Linked DNA regions of Ovis aries. The protein of the gene in region 1 interacts with the protein of each later gene in a pairwise test. Links are inferred from orthologs where the notes say so. Each region holds a gene or a part of one and is shown in the gene's direction. Other genes may lie near its edges. The genes, in order: SGTA, SDC4, F11R, CD99L2, GAL, LAT and antileukoproteinase-like.

The links.
Region 2: the proteins of SGTA (region 1) and SDC4 interact in binary tests that used the Homo sapiens proteins (3 or more experiments, as listed by UniProt). The two-hybrid records come from large-scale screens. The link is inferred for Ovis aries from reciprocal best matches to the Homo sapiens genes SGTA and SDC4.
Region 3: the proteins of SGTA (region 1) and F11R interact in binary tests that used the Homo sapiens proteins (3 or more experiments, as listed by UniProt). The two-hybrid records come from large-scale screens. The link is inferred for Ovis aries from reciprocal best matches to the Homo sapiens genes SGTA and F11R.
Region 4: the proteins of SGTA (region 1) and CD99L2 interact in binary tests that used the Homo sapiens proteins (3 or more experiments, as listed by UniProt). The two-hybrid records come from large-scale screens. The link is inferred for Ovis aries from reciprocal best matches to the Homo sapiens genes SGTA and CD99L2.
Region 5: the proteins of SGTA (region 1) and GAL interact in binary tests that used the Homo sapiens proteins (3 or more experiments, as listed by UniProt). The two-hybrid records come from large-scale screens. The link is inferred for Ovis aries from reciprocal best matches to the Homo sapiens genes SGTA and GAL.
Region 6: the proteins of SGTA (region 1) and LAT interact in binary tests that used the Homo sapiens proteins (3 or more experiments, as listed by UniProt). The two-hybrid records come from large-scale screens. The link is inferred for Ovis aries from reciprocal best matches to the Homo sapiens genes SGTA and LAT.
Region 7: the proteins of SGTA (region 1) and antileukoproteinase-like interact in binary tests that used the Homo sapiens proteins (3 or more experiments, as listed by UniProt). The two-hybrid records come from large-scale screens. The link is inferred for Ovis aries from reciprocal best matches to the Homo sapiens genes SGTA and SLPI.

Annotation. Positions count from the first base shown.
Region 1 is NC_056058.1:18,712,501-18,715,388, forward strand, and holds the end of SGTA (small glutamine-rich tetratricopeptide repeat-containing protein alpha), read left to right. Parts: intron 1-702; coding exon 703-792; intron 793-981; coding exon 982-1,096; 3' UTR 1,097-2,329; downstream 2,330-2,888. UniProt on the Homo sapiens protein: Co-chaperone that binds misfolded and hydrophobic patches-containing client proteins in the cytosol. Mediates their targeting to the endoplasmic reticulum but also regulates their sorting to the proteasome when targeting fails.
Region 2 is NC_056066.1:73,576,570-73,580,229, reverse strand, and holds part of SDC4 (syndecan-4), read left to right. Parts: intron 1-2,712; coding exon 2,713-2,851; intron 2,852-3,660. UniProt on the Homo sapiens protein: Cell surface proteoglycan which regulates exosome biogenesis in concert with SDCBP and PDCD6IP.
Region 3 is NC_056054.1:112,481,055-112,485,480, reverse strand, and holds the start of F11R (junctional adhesion molecule A), read left to right. Parts: upstream 1-1,586; 5' UTR 1,587-1,666; coding exon 1,667-1,727; intron 1,728-4,426. UniProt on the Homo sapiens protein: Seems to play a role in epithelial tight junction formation. Appears early in primordial forms of cell junctions and recruits PARD3.
Region 4 is NC_056080.1:84,661,251-84,665,372, forward strand, and holds the start of CD99L2 (CD99 antigen-like protein 2), read left to right. Parts: upstream 1-1,199; 5' UTR 1,200-1,266; coding exon 1,267-1,333; intron 1,334-4,122. UniProt on the Homo sapiens protein: Plays a role in a late step of leukocyte extravasation helping cells to overcome the endothelial basement membrane. Acts at the same site as, but independently of, PECAM1.
Region 5 is NC_056074.1:42,496,142-42,499,538, forward strand, and holds the end of GAL (galanin), read left to right. Parts: intron 1-1,192; coding exon 1,193-1,279; intron 1,280-1,563; coding exon 1,564-1,641; intron 1,642-2,567; coding exon 2,568-2,638; 3' UTR 2,639-2,820; downstream 2,821-3,397. UniProt on the Homo sapiens protein: Endocrine hormone of the central and peripheral nervous systems that binds and activates the G protein-coupled receptors GALR1, GALR2, and GALR3.
Region 6 is NC_056077.1:26,377,431-26,381,517, reverse strand, and holds the start of LAT (linker for activation of T-cells family member 1), read left to right. Parts: upstream 1-1,205; 5' UTR 1,206-1,515; coding exon 1,516-1,618; intron 1,619-1,734; coding exon 1,735-1,840; intron 1,841-1,966; coding exon 1,967-2,001; intron 2,002-2,257; coding exon 2,258-2,327; intron 2,328-2,447; coding exon 2,448-2,512; intron 2,513-2,603; coding exon 2,604-2,781; intron 2,782-2,851; coding exon 2,852-2,952; intron 2,953-4,087. Other genes in the region: SPNS1 (protein spinster homolog 1), read left to right, coding at 1-38, 318-412. UniProt on the Homo sapiens protein: Required for TCR (T-cell antigen receptor)- and pre-TCR-mediated signaling, both in mature T-cells and during their development.
Region 7 is NC_056066.1:73,486,861-73,491,299, forward strand, and holds antileukoproteinase-like, read left to right. Parts: upstream 1-1,601; 5' UTR 1,602-1,734; coding exon 1,735-1,849; intron 1,850-2,692; coding exon 2,693-2,854; intron 2,855-3,275; coding exon 3,276-3,419; intron 3,420-4,176; coding exon 4,177-4,205; 3' UTR 4,206-4,433; downstream 4,434-4,439.

The DNA of each region.
Region 1 (2,888 bases):
AGCACTCAGGATCTTCATCACAGTGTGTGGACTCTTAGTTGTTCCATGCGAGCTCAGTAGCTGCAGTGCGTGAGCTTAGTTGCTCCATGGCATGTGGGATCTTAGTTCCCCAGCAGGGATTGAACCTACAAATCCTGGATTGCAAGGCAAATTCTTAACTACTGGACCACTAGGGAAGTCCTCTCTTCTTTGGACCTTGTGGTTAAAAATTATTGTGGTAAAAGATGTATACAGTTTCCTGTTTTAGCCATTTTAAGGTCCGTAGTCCCATGGCATTTAGTACGCTTATAATGTCCTGTAGTTGGTCACTACAATCTAATTCCAGAACGTCCATCACCCCAAAATGAAGCCCCACCCCCAATATCGTTGTCTCCCAGCTCCTGACTACCAGTCACCCGTCTGTGGATCGGCCTGACGGTGTTTCCACATCAGTGGACTCAGAAATTCTACGGTCTTATGTGTCACTGGCATGCCCCGGTGTCCCTGGGGGGCAGCACTGCCCCACTGAGAATCACTGTTTTTAAGTCAAAAATGGATGTTCCTGGGAAAGTTGGTGAAATTGACAGGTTACAGTCAGAAGGGTGGGCTCAGGGGGACTTGGGTCCCAGGTAATGTCTCTTGCCAGCAGGGGGGAAGGGTCAAGCAGGGCCGCAGCGGGAAAAGGGGGCTGAGCCGTCTTCAAGTCCAGGACTCTCTTTGCAGCATGTCCGGCATGATTTCAGGCGGCCACAACCCCCTGGGGACTCCCGGCACCAGCCCCTCGCAGAATGACCTGGCCAGTCTCATCCAGGCGTGAGTAGACCTGCCAGGTGGGGCTCCTGGGTGGGGCAGGGTCCAAGGTCCCCGGGTGCTCTGTGGGGCCTCATCCTCCAGGGAGTGGTCCCTCTGCCCTCCAGGGGCACGTCAGGTAGGGAGAGGCGGCTGGGTGGGTGCCTTGGACCTGGCTGAGCCCAGGCACGCCTCCCCTGCCCCCACCTGCAGGGGCCAGCAGTTCGCTCAGCAGATGCAGCAACAGAACCCAGAGTTGATAGAGCAGCTCCGCAGTCAGATCAGGAGTCGGACTCCCAGTGCCAGCAATGATGACCAACAGGAGTGACCGCCCCGTGAGTCCCCGGAGCTGGGGGGCACCTTGGGCCCTCAGGTCTCTTGCCGGGTGGGCCCACTCAGGTGTTTCTCCCTCCAGCCTGCCCAGCGCCATCGGGTCCTTCCCGGCCTACAGGAAGCCTTCTTGACCTTTTCCGTCTCCTCCCATTGGATCGCCCACGAGAGAAAAAGAACTTGGACCTGCATGTTAAGCCGGATTTTTATGATGTTTACTTTTACTTCCTCCCCTCCCTCCCTTTTTATACTCTCTCACGGCCCCCAGATCCTTCTTGAAACAGAGCCAGCAAGCTGTGAGTGCAGACCAGCACCCGTCTCCCTCCTGGCCCCCTGCCCTGAAGACCTGGTCACTAAAGTATTTTCTAGAACATTCTGAGGTGGGGGTGGTCTTCTCACCGCTCTCCGAGAAGTGGCCTGTGGGATGCCGTGGCCCCGAAGCCCCTTCTTCAGCCCCCGCCTGCCTTCCCAGTCTGTCTGCAGGGCCTCCCAGCCCCCGAGAAGCCGCTTTCTGAGTTGACCGTGGCCTCCCTGGCCACCCCTGCTCAAGCGAGCTCACTGCCAGCCAGCCCGGCCCAGCAGACCTGGGTTCTCAGACAAGGAACTCCAGTTGCAAGTGCCCCAGAGGCAGTTTCTGCGCCCAGCGGGGGCCGAAGCAGACGTCTTGGGTGCACACAACCCATTTCTGGGACTTAAATTCCAGTCCAGTGCTCGGATGGACTCGGGTCTGATCGCCATGCTTTTCCCAGTGCTTACAATTGACAGACTGTGAGGGGCCTTCTCATGACCTTTGAGCTGGCTCCTGAGCCTGTCGCAGCCTGGCTGTGTATCCCAGCCACTGCCTTCTGTCCACAGGTGGTGGTCCTGCTGGCCTGGCTTGCCTGCATCCTCAGCGGGCTCTCCTCCTGCTTGGGGGTCAGGGCTATGGGGGTCCCTGATGACCACCTGCCTGGGCCTGAGATCACCGGGCAGCCACTGTGGATGTCCCTGCAGCCCAGGGCAGGGTGGAGAGGGTCCCTGGCACCGCAGCTCGGGCCACAGTGTTGGTGATGAGATCGCTGGAGGCTCCCTGATGGTGTCGGGTCCTGTGGGAGGTGACACCGTACCAGTACCGTGTGTGTAGGTAACTCGTAGAGACAGCCCCACACACATCCCACAAGGCGTCCTAACTCATGAGTGCTACCATGATGACGAGATAACGTGTGGGGAATAAATAGACATCGTGATCTCTGCTGGCCTCCATGTGGACCTCTCAGTGCCACTCTGCCCCCACCCCCTCACCTCCCAGAGCTTCCTGGAACCCCCAGTGTGGACCCTGCATGGGTCACCCTGAACCATTGACCCAGGTTGTGTGTGCCTTCCCTGTCACCTTGAAGACAATCTCACAAATTTGGTGGCCTTTAACTACACACAGTGTCTCCATCCTGGAGGCCAGAAGTCAGACTGGGGACCCCCTTGGGCTAAATCCAGGTGTGGATGGGTCTGGCTCACTCCCTGTCCAGAGGCTGACGTGTGGTGTAGGTGCAGGGGGTGTCAGGCCTGCACTCGACTCCCCCGGGTCGCTGGGCTGTGGGAATGCTTTGGGGCCATACCACTTTCTTTGGCCGTGACCTCTGTGGCTTCCAGTGGGTGTACTCAGCCTCTGGTGACCTTGAGCTGCTCTGTCCTGCTGAGGACCTCCCCATGTTCCCTGCCACTTGGATGGTGGCCAGTAGGTCACAAAGGAAGTTCAGGGGGAAGAGTCTGTCCCTCATGCTACTGTGGGCATGAGAGCTCGAGCAGAGCAGAGG
Region 2 (3,660 bases), on another chromosome or scaffold:
TTGGCATGACCTTAATTCAAGTCATTTATGCTCTCCAGGAAGCTAGTATAAAAATGAAGGGTTGTAGTTGGGGAGAGCAGGGAGACTCAGAGGGAGAAGATATATGTATAATTGTGGCTGATTCGCATTGTTGGATGGCAGAAACCAGCACAACATTGTGAAGCAATTTTCCCACAATTAAAAAATAGATTTAAAATAATGAAGAGTTAGCGATGACCCGGTGACCCCCAAGGTGGCTGAACTGGGAATCGATCTAGGTTTCAGTCCGAGTTTTGTTCTGACTTGGTCTTCACTTCCTGATGTAAAACAGAGAGAGCCACTACCAATCACAGCGAATCAACGTGCTAATCCCAGGGGTGGTTTTGAAACACTCCTCAGTACTTTCACCCACTAAGAGAAAGGAAGGATCCATAAATAAACAGCCATGGCTCTTGGGGATGGGGAGGTAGGGGAAGGGCCCAGCCTGAAACAGCCCAGTGTCGAAACTCCAGCCCCTGTCTTGAGTACTTGGAGCTCTGACTGGTCTCCAGGCTCCATACGCAAGTGGCCAAACTGCCTTCTTTACTTCCTGGGCTGAGTTTGACCGCCATTTGACAAGGCTCCATCCTGGCCGAGGTAGGCGGACACTCTGTGTGCCCGTGTGTTTATGGGTGTGTGGATCTGTATGTGGCTAAAGGCTCGGGTGACCTATGCCTGGGTTCCGGTCCAGAGTGGCCACTTTCTGCCTGGGTGATCTTGAGCGAGTTACTTCAATTTTCTGAGCATCCCCCCAACCCCCTCCCTCCTCAGTGTTTCAGCAAATAAGAGCTATGAGGAGGACCTACTTCAAGCTAAGTGCTTAGTTTGGTAAGCTGCCTAGATCCTGATGTTTCCGATTCTGCCCCCCACCCTTACCACCTCCCCCGGGGGAATTTGCAGCAGGAGATGCGGATGGGAGCACAGGGACCCCGCCCTAGGTGCAGGCAGCTTGCGCAACCACAGTGGAGCCATCTTCTGGAGCTGCCAAACTAAAGCCACAGGCAAGGGGCTGTGTGGGGGCTGGAATTCCAGCGCCAGCAGCTCCCCAGCTCCTGATTCCCGAGTCATGAAGTCATCCCTCACCAGGGCTTAACCCCTTCTCGCTCCCCACCCCCATGTGTACCAGGCGTTCAGCGGAGATTCTCCCTTCCGTGGTGGGAGGGGAGAAATCTCGCTCCCAGCCTGACCTCCCTCCCGGGAATCCAGCTGCCCCACACAGACAGACAGACAGGGTGGAAGGAGACCCAAAAGTCTGCTTCCACCCACCTCTCCCCGGAAGCCTGGGCCTCTCCCACAGAGGGTAACCTTGTCTTAGGGACGGATGTGCCTTTCCAGGCCCACTCTCTGTCCCTGGCAGGTCTCTGCTGGGTGGAGGACAGCGTGGGGCAGTCAGAAACAGAGCCTGGCTTCTTTTCTGAGTGTGTAGCTGACTCACCGTGTGACCTTAGGCAGGTCACTGTAGGAAGCTTAGATTCTTTCCCTTTCTGTGAAATGGGAGGGCAGGACCTCCCTGGCCTCCAGCTGGTGTTCCTCGGTTCTGAGCAGACCCCGCCCCTCTCCACACCTCCTGTAGTTAGGGGGTTGAGGGGGGAGAAGAATGTTTGGGGCAAGGGGTTTGTATTCACCACCCTGAGTCTTCTGGGAAATGGTAGGCACTAGAATATTTGAGTTCATTAGTGAAAGAATGAACTTTGCCCTGGGGCTGCTGTTATGGGCAGACAAAGCCTCAGCCCAGAAGCTAGCTGAGAGGGTGGTGTGAATCCCAAGTATTTCTGACTCTCTAGAAGGAGCTTTGTTTTCCCCGGTCGAATTTGCAGGTTTGGGAGCAGGGTGGCTGATGTTCTGGAGGTCCTGGGGCAGCTCTTTGCCTTCCTGGATCTTTCATGCTTTCCTTGTGAAAGCTACTCAGTGGCGGTGGACCTGAGATTCTAGCTGGGGACGGCTGGGGCCCCCATTCGTGGCAGCGGAGGGGTACTTAGGGGAGCTGGAGTGGACAGTCCATGAGAGCAGGGATGGGGCTCCACACTGCATGGCTGCAGAATGGCCCCGTGGGAGATGTTTGGAAGGCTGAAGACACGAGTGTGCTCACGTACACTTGACTCACCAGGTTCCGGGCAGCGCCCTGACCCGAGGCTGTCCTGGGACGTGAGTGAGCCAGCCCTGCCTGTCCCAGCCTGGTCTGACTCAGCTGGGAAAGATGTCCGGGTCAGGGCAAAACCAGAGCCAGCAGCCCTCTCCCTGCCGTGGGTGAATCAGCAATGACAGCATCAGAGCACCCCGGAGCGTGGACTGGGAACGCTGGCTCTGAAGTCAGTCTTCACTCCGTCTGCTCCCACGAGTCACCCAAAGAAAATGACTTAGTATCTTCAGGGCCCAGTTTCCTCGGTTGTAAAACAGGTGAAGACTGGTCTTTAGAGTTATTAAGAGCAGGTCCTGGCCTATAGCAAGTGCTCAGTATAGGGTACCTAGCATATTTATATTCTGATGATGCCACCTTCATTATTTTAATTAGCCCAGAATGGGAAAGGGTTTTGTCTAAGGTCACACAGCAAGGTAGGCTCTAGCCTGATGCCCTTCCAGCACCCCAGCTCCCGTTCCTGAGCACTCGCTTCACTGCCTTGCGGGGCTCGGGGGCTGCTAAAGAGCATTGGCAGGGGGAGCTGCTGGTTAACGTGTCTCCTGTTCTCACCCTAGATCCGAGAAACTGAGGTCATCGACCCTCAAGACCTCCTGGAAGGCCGATACTTTTCCGGAGACTTACCTGATGACGAGGACATCGGGGGGCCCGGGCAGGAATCCGATGACTTTGAGCTGTCTGGCTCTGGAGATCTAGGTACGGAAGGAGGAGGGGGCCGGCCTGGGGCTCAAGGCTGCAGAGAACTTGTCTTTTACAAGGTTGACCCCACTTTGGGGCTTGAATTTTCCTATTGTGCCCCTCCCCGTTAAAAAAAAAGATGGGGTGAACAAAAGTAACCGGATCAACCCATCCCTGAGACCCTTTCCAGGCGAATGGTTTCTTGCTCCGAGTCCATTTGTAGTAGAAAACCAGTCCGAACCTGTCCGCCTTTGGACGGGATTGGGTGGGAGTGGGCGTTGGGAGGAGAACTGAACTGTGGCCTGTTTTCCTTCCTTTGAAAAGCAAAGAGAGCGCTCAGGAGCCTGGGGGCAGGGTGAGGAGAGCTGTGGGAGGGAACCGAGAACCAACCCCTGCTTCTGCGAGGATGGGATTGGGAATCAGTGAAGGGGCCTCCTGGGGCCGGGCCAGGGTCCCCGTCTTTCTTGGTCATTTCCTGGCCCTGGCTGCCAGGCCAGACAGAGCTACTGAAAAGCCTCCCTCCTCTGTGTGGGGTGGTATAACAATGTGAAGTTTGAGTTCTGGAGTCACATAATCCTGAGTTCAAACTGCCGCTCTGTGACCTCTGAGCCTTGGTGTCCTAATCTGTAACATGGGAATAGAAAATTAGACTGAGTTAAAAGCCCTGGGCACTTACCATGTTCTGAGTAAATACATTCATATTGGAATTTCTGATATTTACTGTTGCAATCTAGAGTCTTCTCAAATGAATCCCCTGGGAATCTTGTTAAAATCCAGATTTTGATTTAGTGGCCCCTGAAATTCTGCATTTCCTACCCCTCCTGGGT
Region 3 (4,426 bases), on another chromosome or scaffold:
ACTTTTGGCCCAAAGGAATGGGACAAAGATGACAGAGCAAAAGGTCAAAAAATACCACTGTTTTGGATACAAGTATGGACTTCCCCGGTGGCTCAGATGGTAAAGCGTCTGTCTACGATGCGGGAGACCCGGGTTCGATCCCTGGGTTGGGAAGGTCCCTTGGAGAAGGAAATGGCAATTCACTCCAGTACTATTGCCTGGAAAATCCCATGGACAGAGGAGCCTGGTAGGCTACAATCCATGGGGACTCGAAAAGAGTTGGACACGACTGAGTGACTTCATGTTCACGTAATGGACTTCCCTGGGGGCTCAGACGGTAAAAGCATCTGCCTACAATGCTGGAGACGGGTCTTGAGCCCTGGGTGGGGAACATCCCCTGGAGAAGGAAACGGCAATCCACTCCAGTACTCTTGCCTGGAAAATCATATGGACAGAGAAGCCTGGTAGGCCACAATCCATGGGGTCGCAAAGAGTCGGACACGAGTGAAGGACTTCACTTCACTATGGACTTCTTACTTGCAGTGAGATAAAGTTCCGGAAGTTTTCCCACGGGCAACCTGGATATACTAAGAAAAAAATAGGGACTTCCCAGGGGGCGTGGGTTTAATTGCTGATCTGGAAGTAAGATCCAGCCTTGCGCAGTCAAAAAGTTAAAAAAAAAAAAAAAAAGTATTACGATCACAATGTAAAATTGTTGTAAAATATTAGCTGTTGAGAATGGGTTTCAAATAAAAACGATGTAGCAATATAAATATTAACAGTATCAACATAGCCTATAGAAAGAGAGTTTAGCAGGCATGCAATTATCCATAGTGAGAAGATAAGTACTACTGAAATGCAGACCTCTGCTGACTGATTACACATGTGTAAAGGACATACCCACAGTCACTCACAGTGATGTTTATAGAGCGTCAGTAGGTCAGTTTGTATTATCTGGGTGTGTTTGGTGATTCGATTCTGCCCTTCCCACTACTGAACTGAGCGCTTCATTCCCCTCTCCTTTCCCTTTCCTCCTCTAACGCAGCCTTGAATCCTGCCAGTGGAGCGGACAGAGGAACACACTTTGAGGGCCTTCTCTCCCGACCCTCACATATTAATACACGTGGTTTTCACTTGATAAAGGACTGGACCAAGATTTCTGCAGCTCCAACTTACATTCCGAATAAACAAAGCATTACAACGAACAAACAAAAGCAGGCCTCTCTCTCTCGCGTCTCACAGAACAACTACCTTCCCGACCACCTTCTTCAAGGTGTTCCTCTAACCTTCCGGCTCCAGTTCAGAACCTAGCCAGTCGTAAAGTCCCTACTTCAGGAACGCCGCCCAATCAGAGAGTCCTCACCTGCAGAAGGTGAGGCCTGGGTCTCCGTACGCGACAGTCTCCTAGCCCAATCAGGGGCGGATCGGGCTTGGAAAGGCTCCAATCCGCCTCACAGGGAATAGTGGGCGGGACTGCACCTGGCGACGGTGAATCACTCAGAGGAGCGGCGGCTCCCTCCACCAATCGGAAAGTGCAGAGGAGCGGCGCTGACCAATCGGGCGTGAAGGGAAGGGCCGGGCTGGGCTCAACCTGGCGTCTGGAGTTTAGTCCCCGCGCGGCTGCAGGCGAAGCTGTGTGTGTTTCTAGTGTCGCAGTGACTGCTGTCGCATCGGGATCTTGATCGTGATGGGTACAAAGGCGAAAGTCGGCAGTACAGAGTTGCTTCTCTTCACGTCGATGGTCCTGTGTAAGTTCCCGGAGTTTTCGGAGTAATCTGTGCGTCTGATCAGAGGTTGGAGGGAGGCGCTCCTCACACCGCTGGCTCGCGAGAGGGAGGGGTTCTGAAATCAGTCCGGCTCACCCTCCTAGTCCTCTTTTCCACCCTAGACTCATCCCTCTTTTTTCCCTTCCCCCTTCCCCTGGTGAGTGGCCGGCTCCCCTCCCCCACACTTATGAATAAGGATCTTCTCTTATATCCACTTGGAGGGAGCTGCCTCTTCCGCGGTTTTACCAAAAATAACGGGGAAAGCTTGGTTCCCCTTTCCTCCATTTTCACCTGCTGGTGAGTGCTGGTGGGCTCGGAGGCGCTGCCCAGCCAGGATCACGCATCTGGGAAGGGCCATCCTGCCCCTCCAGCATCCGCGAACCATCCGGAATCTGTCGGGAGCCTCCTGTCCCCTGACTTTGTTGGGATGTTTTGCTCCTGAAGGGTCCTCAGAGAAAATCTAATGGAGGTCGACTGGAGTGGAAGTCCCTTTCCCTGGCTGTTGCTGAAGGGTCTTTTTAGCTTTTCCCGAATTTCTGGGTTGCATGGTTGCTCCAGGAAAAGTGTCCAGTTGCAAAACCTTTTTTTTTTTGGAAGGCAATACATAAAATTGAAATTTAAAATTTCTTAGCACAGCATTCAAGTTCCTTTCTAGCATACCTTACTTCAGGAATCCTTAGTAAATGTTGTTGACTGAGATACCATTCCCAGGGGAAGGTCCTGTTTTTTGGTTGGCTGGTTCCTTCTCAGAGCCAGAACTCTGCCCTCCCCCCTGGCCATGTTTGAGAGTTTTTGTTTCCTCTGTAAACTCCCTTTCCTGTGGAACAATGAGGCTCACTTGCTGGGGCAGGCCTCTGGTCCATAGTTGTGCTTGCGCCTGACTGAGTTTATGGTTTGTGCCTTAGTCTACCTGTGTCAGCCCCTGTACCCTTACCTGATTCTTGAGTGTCTGTGTGTGCTACCGTGAATAGTTGTGTCGGCAGGGGGTCTGTAAGAATCTCCATTTCCTCCTCAAGATCGCTATTTTAGGAAATGTAGAAGAGATGAGCAATTAAGACCAATATTGCTGGTTACAAGATAATTCATTTTGCTTAGTGTGAAGGGTGCCCTTAGACAGATGAATTGACGACTCCTTTGTTTCTTGTCACAAACACATTAACCCTTGGGATGGACTGGACCAGTAACAAGTCAGATCCTCCCTCCCCCTATTGTGCAGATCAGGAAACAGGTACAAAGAGGGGAAATGACTTGATAAGACTGACCAAAAGACCTGGGACTGGAACCAAAGTCTCCTGACTCACTTCTGTTTTCTGCCCCTGGGCCTGTCTCAGGCAGCCTGTGACACAGGAACCAGCATATCAAAACATCAGTTTGGGATACTGCTCCAGAGTCCACTGTCTCACCTGCCTTTTTCAATTTTTCTTTCTCACTAGATTCTTTCTTTTCTCACTTCTCCCTTTCATTCTACTCCTCCATTTCCCCCTTTCTTCAATTTCCATTCTTTCCTTCCCATTCTTCTCCATTTACTTCTGTCTGTATCTTAGAACTGCTAGTGACACCCAGAGTCATTTTCTTGTTGGGTGTGGTGCTCAGTACTAAACACTTTGACAACCCTGTCAACCCTTGTACTCATCCCCCCACTTCCCAACCTAGAAATTTCTGAGTTAGTAACTGTATTTGTGACAGTATTTGTCAGACTTATAAGACTCCTAGAACTGCTTCCTTCTCCCTTTTCCTCTTCCCCCCTCATTTTCTAGAATAACCCCAAAATATATTATCACGGATTGACACTGAAAGCCTTGTGATATCACCCGTCTGAGCTTGGGAATACCCTCTAGTCTGCTCAGGGAATCAATAAACAGTGGTTTACAGGGAATGTGAGATGATATTGTATTAGCTTGACAGGACAGTGGATCCTGGGAAGTAGCATGTCCAGGAGATGGAGGAACTGACCTTGTCACATGTAAATAGGGCTAGACCTGGGAGATGCTATTTGGTTAGCACAGTGAGAATGGAAATAACAACCAGGCCACCCCCAACCTGCGTTCTGGCTTGACTTTCTGGCTTATTTGTGACCATAGTCTAGTAACTCAGTCTTTTCATCTGTAATACAAGAGTATTACAGGAGTAATAATACTTGTCCTAACCTCATCCTGAGGATCAACTGGGATAATAGCTACATGACATACATGAAAGCGATTATTAGTGGGCAGCTATTACCCTCCTTTGGATTTTGTGAGGGTGAAAGAATGCTGCCCATAGTAGAGCAGGTCAGAGAAAGCAGGGAGGGACCCTGCTAGATTCCAAATGGCTAGAGTGAAAAAGTGGGGGCTTTCTTGCCTGTCTAGTCTGTCCTCTGCCCTTGGGATAGTGGAAGCTTATATAGGATGCCTGCATGTCCTTGCTCCTCACGTGGACTCTGTCATCAGGGAGGGAGAGGAAAAGATCAACTAGTGGCCCACCTCCTGCCGGGGGAATCTAGTGGAGAAGAAGGCCTGAACCTGCTGGGACAGGGTTGGAGAGTAAACACTGGGAGAGCTGGGCCTGGGAAAAGAAAAACTGGTGACCAAGAATACTGGCCTCCCTCCCCCTAGAGAGCCTGTGCTTAAAAAAGGTTTCCAGCTATCTCCTAGGCGGGAAGAGGCATTTCTGTTTAGCAAGATGGTGTGTTTCTAGGATGA
Region 4 (4,122 bases), on another chromosome or scaffold:
GAGAGTGCTCTCGTCAAAGGCTGCAGCTGGCATTTTGCTGTGACAGTCAGGGTAGGAATCTGATTTCGCCTGGTCCTGGAGATGGACTCTGTTTGAGGGGTTCATTGGAAAGGAACGCGGCGCGTGTGTCGATCACTGAGCACATTTACAGATCGCCGCTGCAGATGTGAACTGGCGCTTTCAGTGCATTCATCAAAGCCTCGGGGAGCTGACCCTGGCCCTCTTTCGTCCCCGGGGCCCGCGGCGCTCTGGCTGCAGGTCGCCCCTCAACTTCCCTCTAGCCTGAACCTGCGGCCCCCGGCCTCAGGCTCATTTCCTCAAGACGTGCCGCTGTTTGCCAGCCATCAAAACGGGTTTTTTTTTTTTTTTTTTCCCATCTCTGGGCAGGGCTCTACTGCAGGATCAGCCAAGTCTGAGTGCAGCCATGGTTCTGACAAGCAAGTTCGGCCAAGGTGACAGGGGCAGGAGCGCGGGTGCCCGGTCCTGGCGCCGCAGCTGGAGGGACCCCCAGGGAACAGCTCTTGACCGGGAGGACACCAAGGCCACAAGGGGAAGAGCCCTGTCCAAGGTCACCAGGCTGGCAGAACGCACCAGGTTCGTGCGCCGCCTCGGGTCCAGCTTCTGACCCTGGAGGTGTCCCGCGCGCCAGGTGGAAATCACTGCACACCTTCGCTGCCGGCGCCTCCGGCTCCCCAGTCACTTAAAAAAAATTTTTTTTATTAATTAATTTTAATTGGAGTCCCCATCACTTTTTTTTTCTTTTTTTTTTTTTCCCAGTCACTTTTGACTCACAGCTCCAGGGCCGCAGGGCCCACCTCCAAGACTTCCTTCTCGAGGGCGGGGTGTGACTGGGCCCGCAAGTCGCGCGCCGGCGCTGGCCAGGACCCAGACCGTTCAACCTGCTGGTGCCCGCGGACCACGCCCCTCAAGCGCCAGCACCGCCCGCAGGCTGCGGCCCCGCCCCCCGCGCCGCCGTCCCGCCCCCGAGGCTGCAGGCTCGCCCCGCCCCTCGTGCCACAGTCGCGGTCCCGCCCCACCTCACCGGTCCGGCACGCCCTGGCGCCAGAGCTCGTGCGCGCCCCCATCCGCCCTCTCAGGGCCGCGCCGCGCGCGCGCGGCGCTTTTGGGCGGGGCCCTGCAGTGAGGGGAGGGCTCCTCCCCTTTCTGCTCCTCCTCCTCCTCCTTCCCCGCTCCTCCCCGACCTTCCCTCTCGGGCTCTCTCGCGCTCACTGTGCTCCTCTGGGCCCTGTCCGCCGGCTCCCAGCCATGGTGGCCTGGCGCTGGGCGTGCCTCATCTGCCTCGCTTTCTCCTTGGCCACACTTGTCCAGAGAGGTAAGGCGGGCCGGGGGCACGCGGGGTCCCCGCCCTGTAGGCCGGCGGGGCTGGGGGCCGGTGCCCCAAGGGCCCGGTGGTGCGCATGAGCGGCGCGGCCCCCGCGTGAGGGCCGTCTGCGGAGGCCGCCGGGGGGCAGGCGGGGCCGTGCGGCACGTTGGGTTAGAACTGCGAGTAGAGGGCCGACCCTGCTGTGACCCCTGTGGTGGGTGGGAAGAGACCCGGACCCTTCCTGGTGCCCGGCTACAGAGAGCGATAGCGTCCCCCCTTAAAATCCTGAACAGGGTTTCTCCACCAGTGACAACAGCTGTCCCCGGGAGATTGCCGTTGGGAAAACGAAGAGAGCACTCGTTCCCTTGAGCAAGGCTTCTCCAAAGGTGTTTCTAGGCCACCTGCAGCAGAAGCACCCGAGGAGCCTCTGGGGCTCACTCCTACTTTGTCAGGATCTTGGCGGGGATGGGGGTGGACGGGGAACGGCGGTGTGGAAGTCCAACGAGCCCCCGCAGCTGCTTCTGGCACCCCTTCCAGTTTTCGAGCCACTGGTGATGTTTTCTCCAGGAGAAGGAGAGAGCAAGTCTACCAGATCAAGAAAGCAAGTTCCAAGACCCGCAGCATCATCATCTGGGACTAGTGAGGGATGCCGCATCCCAGGCCCCGCCCCTGACCTGCTGAGTCAGATTCTGCTTTTACTACCTCCCCAGGTCACAGGCACATTCAAGTTTGACAAGCATCTTAGAATAAATGCAGTCTGTGGCTAAAAATAGGGTCGCCAAGGAGTCCCAGCAAAATGTTCTTAGCTTGCTTATCTCATTTCCTCTTCAGAAAAAGAGGTTGAGGAAAACATTGGAGTTGAGCGCAGAATTGTGCTCTGAGCTCTCCTGACACAAGGGCAGATTTAGCTAGTGAAAAACACATGAGCTCAGCAAAAACAAAATCGTGTCCTATAACTGCATTCTAGTGTGGGTTATTTTATTATAAGGAACACTGGGAAACAGTAGACAGTCCAAGGCAGTTTTGCAAAAGATGCAGAAATGTTTCTCATGTGGTCAACCCTCCTGGAGTCTAGAAAAGAAGGACCATTCAGCATTCTACAAAGGTGCCATTCTAGACACGGATGCTGCAGCAGTGGACGAACTTCAGGCTCTGTCCTTGTGGAGCTGACATCTTGGTGGGGGAGAAAATGAGCACAGACTGATCATAGTCTATATACTATGTTGTCAGCACAGTGAAGCAAAACAAAGCAGGTTACAGGGTTGTTGACTTTTCTTCCATTTTTTTCTTTGGAGTTACAATTTTTATTTTGCTTATGATCCATTTGTGGCAAAAAAAAAAAGTTTGATCACTTGATTGACATGCATCTAATGATATGGAACAGTTGGAAGTGGAAGCCCAAAAAAGTTAGAAAACGGATACTGCCTTCAAGGCTGTCTTCTGCAAGTCTTCAACATGGTAGGCACTTTGAGAAGATGAGGAATTTAAGTGATCGGGTCTCAGGTTTTCACCATCATGGGTTACACTGGGTGATTTATAGAGTGGTGGAGGAAATTGCGAAGGGGTGCAGCCAGCTTACAGAGGAAGAAGCAGAGGCACACAGGTGAAGTAACTTGCCTCAGGTGGCAGAGCTGAAATTTGATTCCAGGCTGTCTAATTCCAGTTCTTGCTTTTAAGCGCTAGGCATAATGCCTTTACACCTGGAGGTGGCCCTCCTACGCCTTACTGGCCAAGTGCCCTTGGGAAAGCCAGAACGTGACTTGGTTTGCTCATCCAGTTTCACATACAGACACACGCTTTAACTGCCCCAGGAGTTTGGCTTCTTAGGTACTATCCCCACTTACCAGACACACACACTCTCTCTCTTTAACTGCCCCAGGAGTTTGGCTTCTTAGGTACTATCCCCACTTACCAGATGAGAGGCCCCTGGAGACCCAGGATCACACCCATTTAGGATGGCCTCCTAGTGATCTTTTTACATTTCAATTAACGCTGAACCAGAACGATCTTTTGCTTCAAGGTAGGGACTCAGTTTCCTGGTTCTTTTGTGCAGATCAAGGTGACAAATCTGGGTTTTGCATTGGTGGTTCCCTCGGGGGATCCGAGCACTTTCAGAGCTGGTCTCAGGTCCCCACTGACTCTCCGGAAGCCCCAAAGTGGTGGATCAGGTGTGCCTGTCCAAGAGCCATTTTCTTCTTGGTCCTCAGTAATGAAGTGTGACTTAGAGAGCCCGGCAGGACTCAGAAAATGCTCAGAACCTCGAAGCAATGTGTGAAATCCTTCCAGGCTCTGGCATGTCAAGACAGACTTTAGGCTCCCAGGAGTTGAGAAGGCGGTTAAGGCATTCCTGTTAGTCCACTGTGTATTTTACTAGTTTTGAAAAATTGAGGACAGGTATGTCACCTGTCTGTACCGACAGAAATGGGAAGCTGTGCTTTTGACTTTCTGGGAGAAGGATCTCAATGGTACAGGTGGGTGACAATCGCACAAGAGCTCCACTCCCTCTGTGTCTTCCACGTGCCAGGCCCTTAGTGCCTCACTCATTTACATTTCCTAACTACCCCCACAGTGGCTGTTTGCATACAGCCTTGAAAAGTAACTGAGTGGTAACCCATAGCTTGGATGAAAAACACGTGGTCCAGAAAGGTTTTGGACTTGAACTCAGGTTTATCTGCATAAGCAAAGGAGGGATTGTAAATGCAGATATACCCAGGGATGGAGCACGTCCTAGAAATGTGAGACGTGGTGAAGAATTTATGATGAACGTGTTGGCAGATAGCCAAGTGCCTGCTACCTTA
Region 5 (3,397 bases), on another chromosome or scaffold:
TCCTGAGTCAGAAAACAAGCTGTTTTTCACCATCAAGTTGGATCAGCAGAAGCTGTCCATCTAGACCAGCTCTTTGTCAGAATCCCTTAAGACTTCGCGCCGTACTCCCGGCTTCTGTCGTCAGCACGAGACTGTGCTTGCTGCCGAGGTCGGTCTGAGCCTGGAGGCGCCCAGTGGCCTCCTGAATCGCCGGGGGCTTGTCATCCCTCCACACTGCAGGCCAAGGACTCTGGGGGAAGATGCATTAGTTCGCACTTGCCCAGGCTTGGAGGTGACCTGGTGCATCAGGCCCGGCAGCCAGAAACCATGGCCCAGGTCTCCTTTACCCCGAAGGGCCCCAGGTCAGGCCCTTCCCTTCACTGCAGGCTGCTTGGCACAGAGTCTGCATTCTTTCTTTTCAGTTCTTTTTATTTTACTTTTTCTTTTTGGTCACACTCTGCAGTTTATGAGATCTGAGTTCCCCGACCAGGGATTGAACCCGGGCTTTCAGCAGTGAAACCGCAAAGTCTACCAGGGAACTCCGTCCAGTGCTTTCTTAGGGGGTCTCTCTGCCTGCAACCTCATTCCTGCTTTTCACTCCAGCCAACATGCATGCGTGTGCGCACACACACGTGTAGACACGTGCACACGCACGCACTCACGTGTATACACACACACGCACGCCCTCCTTCCCTCTCGCCCCCTCCTCCTCCTCCTCCTCTCTGACCCTGTCTCTCTCCCTGGCTCCAGTCCGTCTCCCTCACAGCAGCCAGTGGTCTTAGAGAGAGAAAATCTGCTTTCATCAGAAGGGCAAATCCTGTGGCTCCGCCTGCCCCTGTTTTCAGGGACATAGGACCCCAGGCCCTGTCCTCTGCCTGGGAGGCACCCAGTTCAAATGCCAGCCCCCCTGGGGCGCCGTTGGCACACCCGCGCTGACCAGGCCTGGAGCCAGTGCCCTCCACTAGGCGCATGCTGGCCCCGTCTGGACCGGCGGCTCCCCTCCGGCTCTGCGGGCCCCCAGCCCCTGGATGGGAGCGGCGCCCTGGCTCTGGCTCTGTCCTCTGGTTCCGCAGAGCGTGGCCCTGCCCCTTCCACGGCGCCCCTGCCGCGCTTGGTTTGTGCGCTCTGGCTGTGTTGCGGGTTGGCGGTAAGCAGCCGTGTGTCCTGTCACGGCGACCACGCTCAGGTGCTTTCCTCCCTGGTTTGCCGACAGATGCCATCGACAACCACAGGTCACTTCACGACAAGCATGGCCTCGCCGGCAAGCGGGGACTCGAGCCTGAAGACGAAGCCCGGCCAGGTGAGGGGACTTTAATCCCAGGGCACGCAGGGCCGTGGGGGTATTGGTCTCCTGCCCGCCCGATTCACAACCGAGCCTGAGCTGGGCCCCACAAGATCTGTCAGCCGCCAGAACGAGGCGCCCCAAACCTGGGAGTAAGATCCTGGGGCAGCCACGGGGTCTCAGGGCCTGCCCTGAGCTGAACCGGGCTCTGGAAGGAGGGAGGGGCGTCCCGGTGGTGCCCCCAGGTGCCCAGGTCTAGGACGGGCACCCCGGTCGTCAACCCTGCCCCCTCTGGTTTCTAGGAAGCTTTGACAGACCGCTGGCGGATAACAACGTCGTGCGCACGATAATTGAGTTTTTGACTTTCCTGCATCTCAAAGGTACGTGAAGTACCCCAAGGGGAAACCCCACCTCTTGGAAGCCTGTGGAGAAAAGATTCCATGGACTTCTCCTGGGGAGGAGCCGGGTCTACCTCACACCTAGTCACGCTGGCGGGAGCAGTGACAAGGCCGGGGCTGGGTTCGTTTGTGCTGTGGACCCAGACTCCTGGACGTGGGGCCGCAGTCACTACACACAGCCAGGCTCTCCGCAGACCACCTGGAGCCCAGGGTCCTGGTTGCATTTTCACCGCGGGCAGTCTCCTGGGGGGCAGGCTGCGTTTGACCCCCATAGCTCTGTGGCCTGGGATCTAGGCTCTTCCATGGACACTGCAGATGAGGGGGCCTCCCCGTGGCCCATCCAACCTCAGCACTTCTGTGCTTGTGACTGCCGCTCTTGCCCCAGTGACTGTCTGGCCTTAATCAAACCCGTCCTGTGGAAGGGGCTCTGAGAGGTCACCACCGGGACCTCCAAGGGTGGCACCAGGGCTGTCCCCGTTTTGTCTAGTTGGAAGAGTGACGACGCTTTCTGGGTTCTGTCTTGATCCACTTGCTCTCAGGCTCCACTGCTTTTAGGAGGGCTTAGCGGGGGAGGAGTTTTGGGGGGCGATTTAAGCTTGCAGCTTTCCCTCAGAACCATCCGTGGGCAGCGGGGCTGTGGGAGAAGGACTGGGAAACCTCAGAACCCAGAGCCCAGTGGAGCCTCTGGGGAGACCTCTGTGGAGGAAACGGGTGACTCTCCCAGCAAGGGCAGACTGACCTTATGGGTCTATCTGCTCTGTTTGGAATGCTGCCGCATGGAGCTTCTCTCCTTAGGGGACACTGACTTTTGTTACCTAAATGCATGCCCAGTGTGGGGGTTAACTGTGGCGCGTGCCTGATGCCGGGCTTGATGCGGGGGGATCTGAGTGTGGCCCTTCCCCTTGCAGACGCCGGGGTCCTGGAGCACCTGCCCGGTCTCCCCACAGCAGAGTCCGCAGGAGACGCCGAGCGGTCCTGAGCGGGCTCCCGCGCGTGTCGGGCTCCCCTGTCACGCGCAGTCGTGCCCCGCGAGGGTGCCCGTCACATGGCAGCCGCCCCATCCCCGCTGCCCTGATGCTGTGTCCTTGCCATTTCAGGTTCTTTCCCTTTGGTCATAAGTTTGAGTGGCAAAATTAAAAAAAAAAAAAAAAAAACAGCAATGGCTTGTGATGATCATTTCCTTCCAGGTGTCTGGCTTGTCACCACTGCCACCAATGTGTTTTTAAAGGATGATGCTTGTTTATAATCACGGGTATTAGATAAAACCTTTACCCTCAAATTCCACCATCTAGAGTATCTCAGACACCTTCTGTTGTCACTCATGTTTAGGGAACAAAGTTGTCTTAACATGAAGCTGAGTCAAAGATAATTATGAAGGCAAGTTTGTTTCTGAGACAGACAAAACCACAAACAGAGCCCTGCCCTCCTGCGGCTGATATGGGCAGATGGGAACGGCCACAGCAGCCCCGAGCCTGAGGGGGAGGAGTGGCGTGGAGGCGGGCGTGAGGGTCAGGGGGTGCAGGGTGGCGAGGGGCGGCGGTGCCGGGCCGCGCGAGGTGGGGACCGACAGGGCAGCGCGAGTCACGTGGTGGGTCAGGAGGCCACCGTCCGAAGCACGGCAGCCTTTCTTTGGATCAGGAGGTGTGCTAGGCTGATGCTGAGTTAAGGACAGCACGTGGGGACTGAGGGTAGAAGTCTTGGTCCCCCTACCGAAGACCCAAGAAGGAAACAGGCGACG
Region 6 (4,087 bases), on another chromosome or scaffold:
CGAGAGCGACCGCCGGCAGGCTCAGCTGCACGTGCAGGGTCGGTCGGGCCTCCCCTCTGTCAGTCCACAGTTCCCTGTCTAGCTTCATGATGCTGCCTGCTTGTCTGTCTGTCTGCCCGCCCAGCCCTGTGTACCTGGCCTCTCTCAGTCCTCAGCCCTCCCCTTCCTCGGCTTCAGGGCTGCCTGACCCATGAGCTCATGCCCTGCTGTGTGCCCATCAATGCTGCCCTGTCCATTTGCCACTGCTTGTTCGTCCCCTTCCTGGGCCTGTGTCTGTCTGTCCATCCAGCCCTGGCTCTGATTCTCTTCCCTGGCAGGTCTGTTGCCTGAAACCGGGCCCACCGATGACCGGATTGTGGTGCCCCAGCGAGGACGCTCCACCCGGGTCCCTGTGTCCAGTGTGCTTATCTGAGGGATCACCGCTTGCTATCTGCAGACCTATCACAGCTGGCCCTGGGCCCACCCCAGGAGGTGCCCAGGCCCCAACTCCTCGGCTAGCCCGTTTTCCGGGAGGGGCCTTGGGCCGTGTTCCAGCTCCCACACACTACATGGGTAGCCAAGTGGGGACACTGGGGGCTCGGGACGGGGGAGCCCCTGCCCCTGGAGCAGCCCTGGGGGCTCGGTGCTATTTGTAACTGAATAAAATTTGTAGCCAGAACCCCAAGTGCCTGCTGGAGTCTCTCTGGGTTAGGGACCTCTGATCTCTGGATGGTGGGGGATGCCCCCTCTCTACCCCCAGGGTCCCAGCGGCTGTCGGGTGACCCCCGTGGGCCCTGGGGCAAAGCCCTGTCCTTCTGGGCCGGTGAGCATTGGGGTGGAGTGAGCTGGCTTTGTGTGACCGTGAGTCATGCCCGTGTCTCCCCTAGAGCCCGCCCTCCGCAGGCCAGCCAGGGCGAGGTGGGGGTGGGCACACCCAGGGGCCCCTCAGAATTCCCGGTGTCGGAGCCTCTCTTTGCTGCCTCCGTGAGCCACAGCTGTGGAGGCCGCGGCCACTGACTGGCCTGGAAGCATCTTTCCCTCCTCACCCCCGCTATGAGTTGCCCCTTGCCAGGGAGACCAGCTGACCCTTCTGGAGGGCCCAGGGTGGCTCCTGAGGTGGCCTCCTCCCCCTCCTCACTGGCTGAGTGGGGGTGGGAAGGGGGCGGGTGCAGCTGGCTGAGCCCCGATGATTTCCTGCCCTCACCCGGCGCTCACCACAGCTTCCTGCCACAGGCAGGCAGGCGCTGAGGAGAGGCGGGCGCGGAGCGAGGGGCAGGTAGGGCTGGGGCACAGGGTCTGTGTAGGGGTGGCTGGTGCCCCAGACTCCAGCCCAGACCCTGGCCTGACCACCCTGGGGTCCAGGGTCTTCCAGAGCCAGCGCTGACACCCGCTCAGCCCAGCGAGGGGAGGGGATCCAGAGGAACCCCTGCCTTCAGGCTCTCAGCCGGCCGCCGGTACCCTTCCCGGCCTGGCCCTTGCCCGCTGCTTCTCTGTGTGGAGGGGTGTGCAGCGAGCAGCTGGGCCTGGTCCAAGCAGATGGAGGCGGTCAGCCTGCCTGTCTACGTGCTGGGGCCCCTGCTGCTGCCTCTCTTGGCCGTGTTGCTGATGGCTCTGTGTGTCCGTTGCCGGGAGCTGCCAGGTGAGTGGGTGCCAGTGGGTTGACCAGATGCCCAGACACACTGCTAGGGATCCTCACTCCATTCTCTGACCTCTTCCTTCCCTTTAACTGTCTGTAACTCTTTCTTGCACGCGGAGACGCTGAGAGCCCCATACTCCATCACCCTCTGCCCTCGTCACCCTCTTTTCCTGCCTCACGGGCCCTCTCTTCCCCAGGCTCATACGACACTGCCGTCTCCGATAGGTGAGTCTGCCTTGTCGACCCCGTTCGACTCCCTCAATGCCCCGTGTGGGGCTGGGCCCCTGGGGGCCTGGGGTGGGGTCCAGGGCCTCTCCCAGCTGCTGACCTGAGCTCTGTCTCTCCTGCCAGTTTGACCCCAAGTAGCATCATGATCAAACTGCCTCGTGAGTACATGAGTGTCCCCTCCCTTGGGTGCGGGGAGAGGGTCCCCTGGCCTGGGAGAGCGTGTGCTTTTGTTCATTTCCCCGCTGTGGCCGCCCACATGGCCTGAGCTGGGGGTGGGGAGGGAGATCGTGTCTGCCCGCCCAGGACTCTCCAGGGCCCTGGGGGTGGCAGGGGTCAGTCTGCCTTTCGAGGCCTTGTCCAGGGTAGGGGTGTGAGGTGTGGAGTCATTCCTTCAGCTTGGTCCTGTGTCCTCAGCCACACTCGTCCCACGACCATCGACCACTCCCTACCCGCTCCCGAGCCAGCCAGACCTGCTCCCCATCCCGTAAGTACCAAATCCCCTCTTTAACCCCTCACCTCCTTGGATTGGGGGCCTCTTGCCCTGTTGCAAGCCCTCTCCCCCTAGAGCCCCACCCTAGTATGACCTCTGACCTTTGACGCCCAGAAGGTCCCCGCAGCCCCTCGGAGGCTCCCACCGTATGGCGTCGTCCCGGCAGGACTCAGATAGCGGTAAGCCTGGAGCGGGACCCACAGGGCTGGGACCACTGGGTAAAGGCCCCCTCCGAGCTGACTCAGTCTCCCTCTTGCGTTCTCTCTGCAGCCAACAGCGTGGCCAGCTACGAGAACGAGGGTGTGACTGGGACCCCTGTGGCCCCGGCTGGGAGGCGGCTGAGACCCGTCCTGGGCTCCGCTGACCCTGTGTCGTTACCCCCAGAGGCAGCCTGTGAGGATGCGGATGAAGATGACTATGACGAAGACTATAACAATGAGGGCTACTTGTGAGTGGCCAGGTGGGAGGTGGGGGCCGAGGCCAGGGCTCCTCGCTCACCTGACCCTTGACTCCCGCAGGGTGGTGCTTCCTGACAGGGACCCGGCCACCAGCACTGGCAACGCCGTCTCACAGGCTCCTGCGCCCAGCAAACCCGGCCTCCGAGACAGCGCCTTCTCCAGTGAGTCGGCCGTCTGACCACTCCCTGCCCCTCCGTGCTGCGGCTCCTCGGTCTTCCCTCTCCTCCTGGATCCTTGCGCCCCTCCATCTTCTCGCTTCTCTCTTTCTAGCCCTCCTGTCCTTCAGCTAGGGGACTTCCGGCTCCGATCTTCTTTTCTTTTCTCTCCTCTTCCCTCTTGATCGTTTGCCTTTTTGTCTGCAAGATTTCCTTGACTCTATTCTTCTTTGGGCTCCGAGCTTTTGTCTTTCTTGTCCAAAAGCTCTTTCTTCATCTCTGAATATTCCTTTCTCAGAGCCTCCTCTCTTGTCTTATGAAGGTGATATCATCTTGCAGATCTCGAAGGATAGTGATGATCAGCTGTCTTTTTTGGGTTTCTTTGGAAAGTTTTCTTCTGCTTCCAGTGTTGTTTCAGTTTCCTTTGGGCTACTTTTCGCTCTTCGTTTTGGTTTCATCCTGCCTCTTGGAGGCTTTTATCAGTGTCTTGTGATCTTCAGTGTCCGTTACTCTTTTCCTTCTATGCTTGCTCTGTGCCATCGTGTCCACACCCTGGCTTAATTTGCCATCCGCATCATCCCTAACTCATGGCCTCTCTCTTGGGCCCCAAACCATCTGTCCAAGTGCTTATTTTCATTCATTCATTCACTCACTCATGTTCGTCCATCTACTCACACAATTCAGCCATCATACTTACTGGTTGCCCCTGAAATAATCACTGCTAATGAGTCTGAGTGAACTCCGGGATATGGTGATGAATAGGGAGGCCTGGCGTGCTGCGATTCATGGGGTTGCAAAAAGTCGGACACGACTGAGCGACTGAACTGAACTGAACTGAATGAGAAAAAGTCATGATTAAAGCAGCTCGCATTACTGAGGACCTCATACATTCGCAGCTAAAGAGTTTTATGTGTATTTGTTGTTGTTATCTAGTCACTAAGTCATGTCTGACTCTTTTGCAACCCTGTGGACTGTAGCCCAGCAGGCTCCTCTGTCCACGGGATTTCCCAGGCAAGAATCCTAGAGCGTGTTGCCATTTCCTTCTCTGGGGGATCTTCCCAACCAACTTATTAATATTAAACCTCACAATTCCCAGGGGCTTTTGAGCTTCTCCCTTCCCCTCCTGCCTCTCACTTATCCC
Region 7 (4,439 bases), on another chromosome or scaffold:
TCTATTCAACCACATCCTCTTCACCAGTTGCCCAATCTCCTCTCCACGTATTCATCACTGCCGGATGTTCTCTATTAATTTCACCTTTCAGAAGATGAATTTCCTGGGGCCCTCTGACCCTCTCCAATCTGGTCTGGTAGTTCCGTTTTTTTTCTTTTTTCTTTTTTTCTTTTTGAAGTAGCAAATGTGCAATGCTTTCTTAAAATTTTTGTGTCGATGTAGAGTTGATATAAAATATTATATGTTACAGGCATATTATATAGTGACTGACATTTTAAGGGTTATACTCCATTTATAGTTATAGTAAAATATTGGCTCTATCCCTCAGGTTGTGCAATATATCCTTGCAGCTTATTTTATACATAATAGTTTGTACCTCTTAGTCCCCCTGGGTTTCCTGGTGGCACTAATGGCAAAGAATTTGCCTGCCCTTGCAGGAGATGAAAGAGACACAGATTTGATTCCTGGGTTGGGAAGATCCTTTGAACAAGGGTATGGCAACCCACTCCCATATTCTTGCCTGGAGAATCCTATAGATAGATGGAGCCTAGCGGGCTACAGTCTACAGGTTACAAAGAGTCAGACACAACTGAAATGACTTAGCACGCACACTTAGTCCCCTACCCCTGTATTGTCCCTCCCAGCTTCCTTCTCCCCACATAACCTCTAGTTTGTTCTGGCACTCAGGTCTCACTCTGGGATTTTCTGTCACCATCATCATGAGGACTCTCTTATTTTCCTTTCCTACATTCTACTTTGTGTATTTCATGCATTTTTTTTCTTGGTTTCACCTTAAGAGGATTTCTTTTGCTATTTAGAATTGTTTAAACTTCTCATCATGTAGCCAGTGTACAATAAATGTCCATTATGATCATGCAAGACCAGTGAGGATGACTCTGGGGTGTGAGAGGATTTTTTTGAGCATATGAAATGACATACCTGTTTCAACTGGCTCTTCAACTGACTGCTAAGAAGAGCCCCATCGGTTTATCTCAGGAAACAGGGCTCCAACGTGATTGACTTTGCATCAGTCTCACTCCCATTCTGCTAACAGGTAGTGTGTTCATTCTTCTTCAACTTCCTTCCACTCTTTTGAACTCAAGTTCCCCCTCTGTGATCTAGTCCGTTACTATTATCCCGACTTCACAACTGAGAAAGCTGAAGACCCAAGAGGTTTTCCTTGCTGTCCCCTCTCCACCTGTCATTCAGCAGATTCTCTGTGTGACTGGCACTGCAATTATATGTGGTAGTAAGCCAGGAGAGAATGAGAAAAAATGTCACCTGCCTTTTAGGGAAGGGAGTGACCCTGGGTAATGTGGTAACAAATGTGGCAATCCTCCAGAGCCCTGGAGTGTGGGAAAGTCATGGCATTTTCAGAGACCATGGTTCCAGATTTCTAACAAGTTCCTTTGTAATGTCCCGTTTGGCCCTCTTTGCCCCTCCCCGACTCCTCCCCAAGGAGGGTGATTCAGGGTCCCCTAACATGTTCCCAAGCGGCTTTCTGACACCACCCCCTCCAAGTCCTTCATTCCCCTTCCTAGTCCTCACGCTCTTGCCTAAGGGCAGGAAAGAGCCAGCAACACTGGATGGCGTGGTCACTGTCCTCACCTGAATTTCCTGCTGAGGAAATAGCAGCTGAGAGAACTCAGGGCAGTTCCGGTGGGAGCACACCCATCAGAGCGGGTATAAAGGGTGAGGCTGACACTGGTCACCACCGCCCCGCCTGCCCTCAAGATGAAGTCCAGCAGCCTTATCATCCTCCTGGTGATATTTGCCTTCGGATTCCTGATGCCCTGGACTGTGGAAGGTGCTCCCAAACGTGAGCTGGACTTTCTCAGGCCATACCCAGGTACCAAAGTCAATGATGGCTCAGCGTGGGAATAATCTCTTCTTTTTCGCCTGGGGGCTGGTCTTGAAGCCCTCTTTCCAATGGCCTATGGTCCTTAATTTCAAGCATGTCTCTGAGGACTTCAACTAAGAGAGTTTCTGTGCATCCAGAGATAAGCCCTTGTATTTCTTATTTTTCTTTCTCTATATCTCCTTCTTTACTGTTTTTTCTTTTTTCTCTGTCACATTATTTTGGTCACTATCTGTTTTAATTTTCCAAATTGTTCTCTGTTTCTCTTAATTTTGTTGTTGTTGTTGTTAATGGTCACTATTTTTTTCTATTTGCTTCTCAGTTGATCTGTTCTCTTTTGTTTAATCTCAAATGAGTGGCCTCTCTTGCTGTCACTGTCTCTGCCTCCCTCCCAGCCAGCCCTGGGCCAGGGATACCTGGCCATGAACTCTGTTCAGCCCTCCCTGGAGCTGACTTATACAGACATGCCGTAGCTGACTGTGAAATCTTCAAGACTTCTGTGAGGTAGTAGATGTCACATTGGTAGCTTGAAATAAGGAACAGTGGGAATATTTACACCAGGGAAACTGGCAAACTCCACAAAGTCTCCCTCTTGAAAGATTTAGTGGCACACCGCCATCTATACCTTCTCTCCCGTTGACTCCCTCTTGGTTGAGGGTTTGGCTGAGCTTGCCACTGTCCCACATCGGCCTTGAAACTGGAATCCTAATGGCTCCCTTCATTCCTTTGAGGTCAGCTACTTGGGTTAGGCTTTCTCTCCTCACCTGGTTCCTTCTGGAGGATTGTGATCTTGACTCAGTGCCAGCTTCTTCCTCCTTTGTTCTTACCCTTCAGAAAAAGGCAAACCTGGAGCCTGTCCTTTCGTCCGCCCTGTGCTGTGCTTTGTATATGAACCGCCTGAGTGCCAGAGTGACTGGCAGTGTCCGAAGAGGCAGAAATGCTGCCAGGGTCTTTGTGGCATCAAATGCACGGATCCTGTAGACACGTCAAAGCCAGGTGAGGAAGTCCAGTCCTGGAAAGGGGGATCAGGGAGGTCTGAGCTTGAGGACATGCTTCTTGGGCAAGTGGAGGGGGCTCGTCTGAACTGGGGTGCAGGATGGGATAGAGTCAGGGCTTCTCCACCCCTTCTACCCGCTCTGTTTTCTCAGGTAGACAGTAGGCCAGCTGGTGAGCCTGTCAGCCAGCAGGTCAGTCAGTTCATGAATAGTCTGTCTATCAGACACACGTATGTCAGACACTAGTTGGGGTCCCGTTGGTGGGAGGGAGTCTTCTTTAGGACACGCACCAGCCTCAGATTGGATCCTGAAGGTAGGGAAGAACCAGTTTCCACGCATGGGGTGAAGATGGAGTTGGGAATTTGGGTGATGTGCCAAGGGGCGAAGCCTCTGAATTGTGACTTTGTTTTCATCACTTAAAGTCACTCCTGGGAAGTGTCCGGTGGTCACTGGCCACTGTGAGAGGCCCAACCCTGTAAACATCTGCCAGGATGACAGCCACTGCCTGAATGGTTTCAAGTGCTGCAGGGGTCCGTGTGGGAATTCATGTGTCCTGCCGGTGAAAGGTGAGGAGAAGATCTAGCAAGCTCCGCATCCCCCTGGACCTTAATATGCTCTCAACCTAATGGTACCTTTGTATGTGAAAGAGGTTGCTTGACATCTTCCAGTACTTCCCCATTCCCTAAGCAGATGCTCTGCGCTTCAGTGACCTTTACCCCTTAGATTTCTCTAGACAAGTCCCAGGAGGCACCTATGACAGGCCGTGCTGGGTCCTAGGAAGGAAAGCTTCTTGGAATAAGGCAGGAGGAAGGAGAGTGATACAAGAGGCAAAAGTTCTATCTTTGAATATCATCTCTGCCTCTGACTGACTATGTGACTATGAGCAACTGACTATTTCATCCTCCACCTCAGTTTCCCCATCTGTAAAATGGACACAATTATATCCATAGCGATACTAAATGTAAAAGTGATTTTTAAGACTTGAAGTACTATTTGCATTCAGAGAATTTTGCTATGGTTATGGCCTCGATTGGCTGAGTTATCTTGAACCACAGGGGAACTCTAGCAAGATGCATAGATGTCAATCTAGCCCAATACCCTGATTTTATCAGAGGGCATCAGAGAAGAGCCTGTGAAAAGCCTGGATTTTGTCTTGATTCCTACATCAAAGGCCAGCACTGTTTCAATGATTCCAGCACAATGCTCTCTACCTATCCCAAGGGACCTAGGACTTGGTGGTGGAAGGACCATCTTGGTGGGACAGATATAAGGGTCACTTAAATAATTCCTGTGCTGAAGCTCCACTTTATTTTCTTTCTACAGATTCATCCTTTCCAGGTCAAAAACATTAGGACTTCCTGGTCTGTGTGCTCTGGGGATTCCCCCTACTCCCCACCCTGCAAGCCTGGAAAACAATGAAAGCACCTTGGTCAAGATGTGGTTTTGTGACCAATACTCCTTTGGGGACAAGATCTGGCCTGTTTTATCTATGTATCCCCAGCATCCAATGTGAAGCTTGGCACACGACAGGAAATGCCTATTGATCAGTGAATAAATAAATGTACTAGGTTTTCTCTGCATTTCCA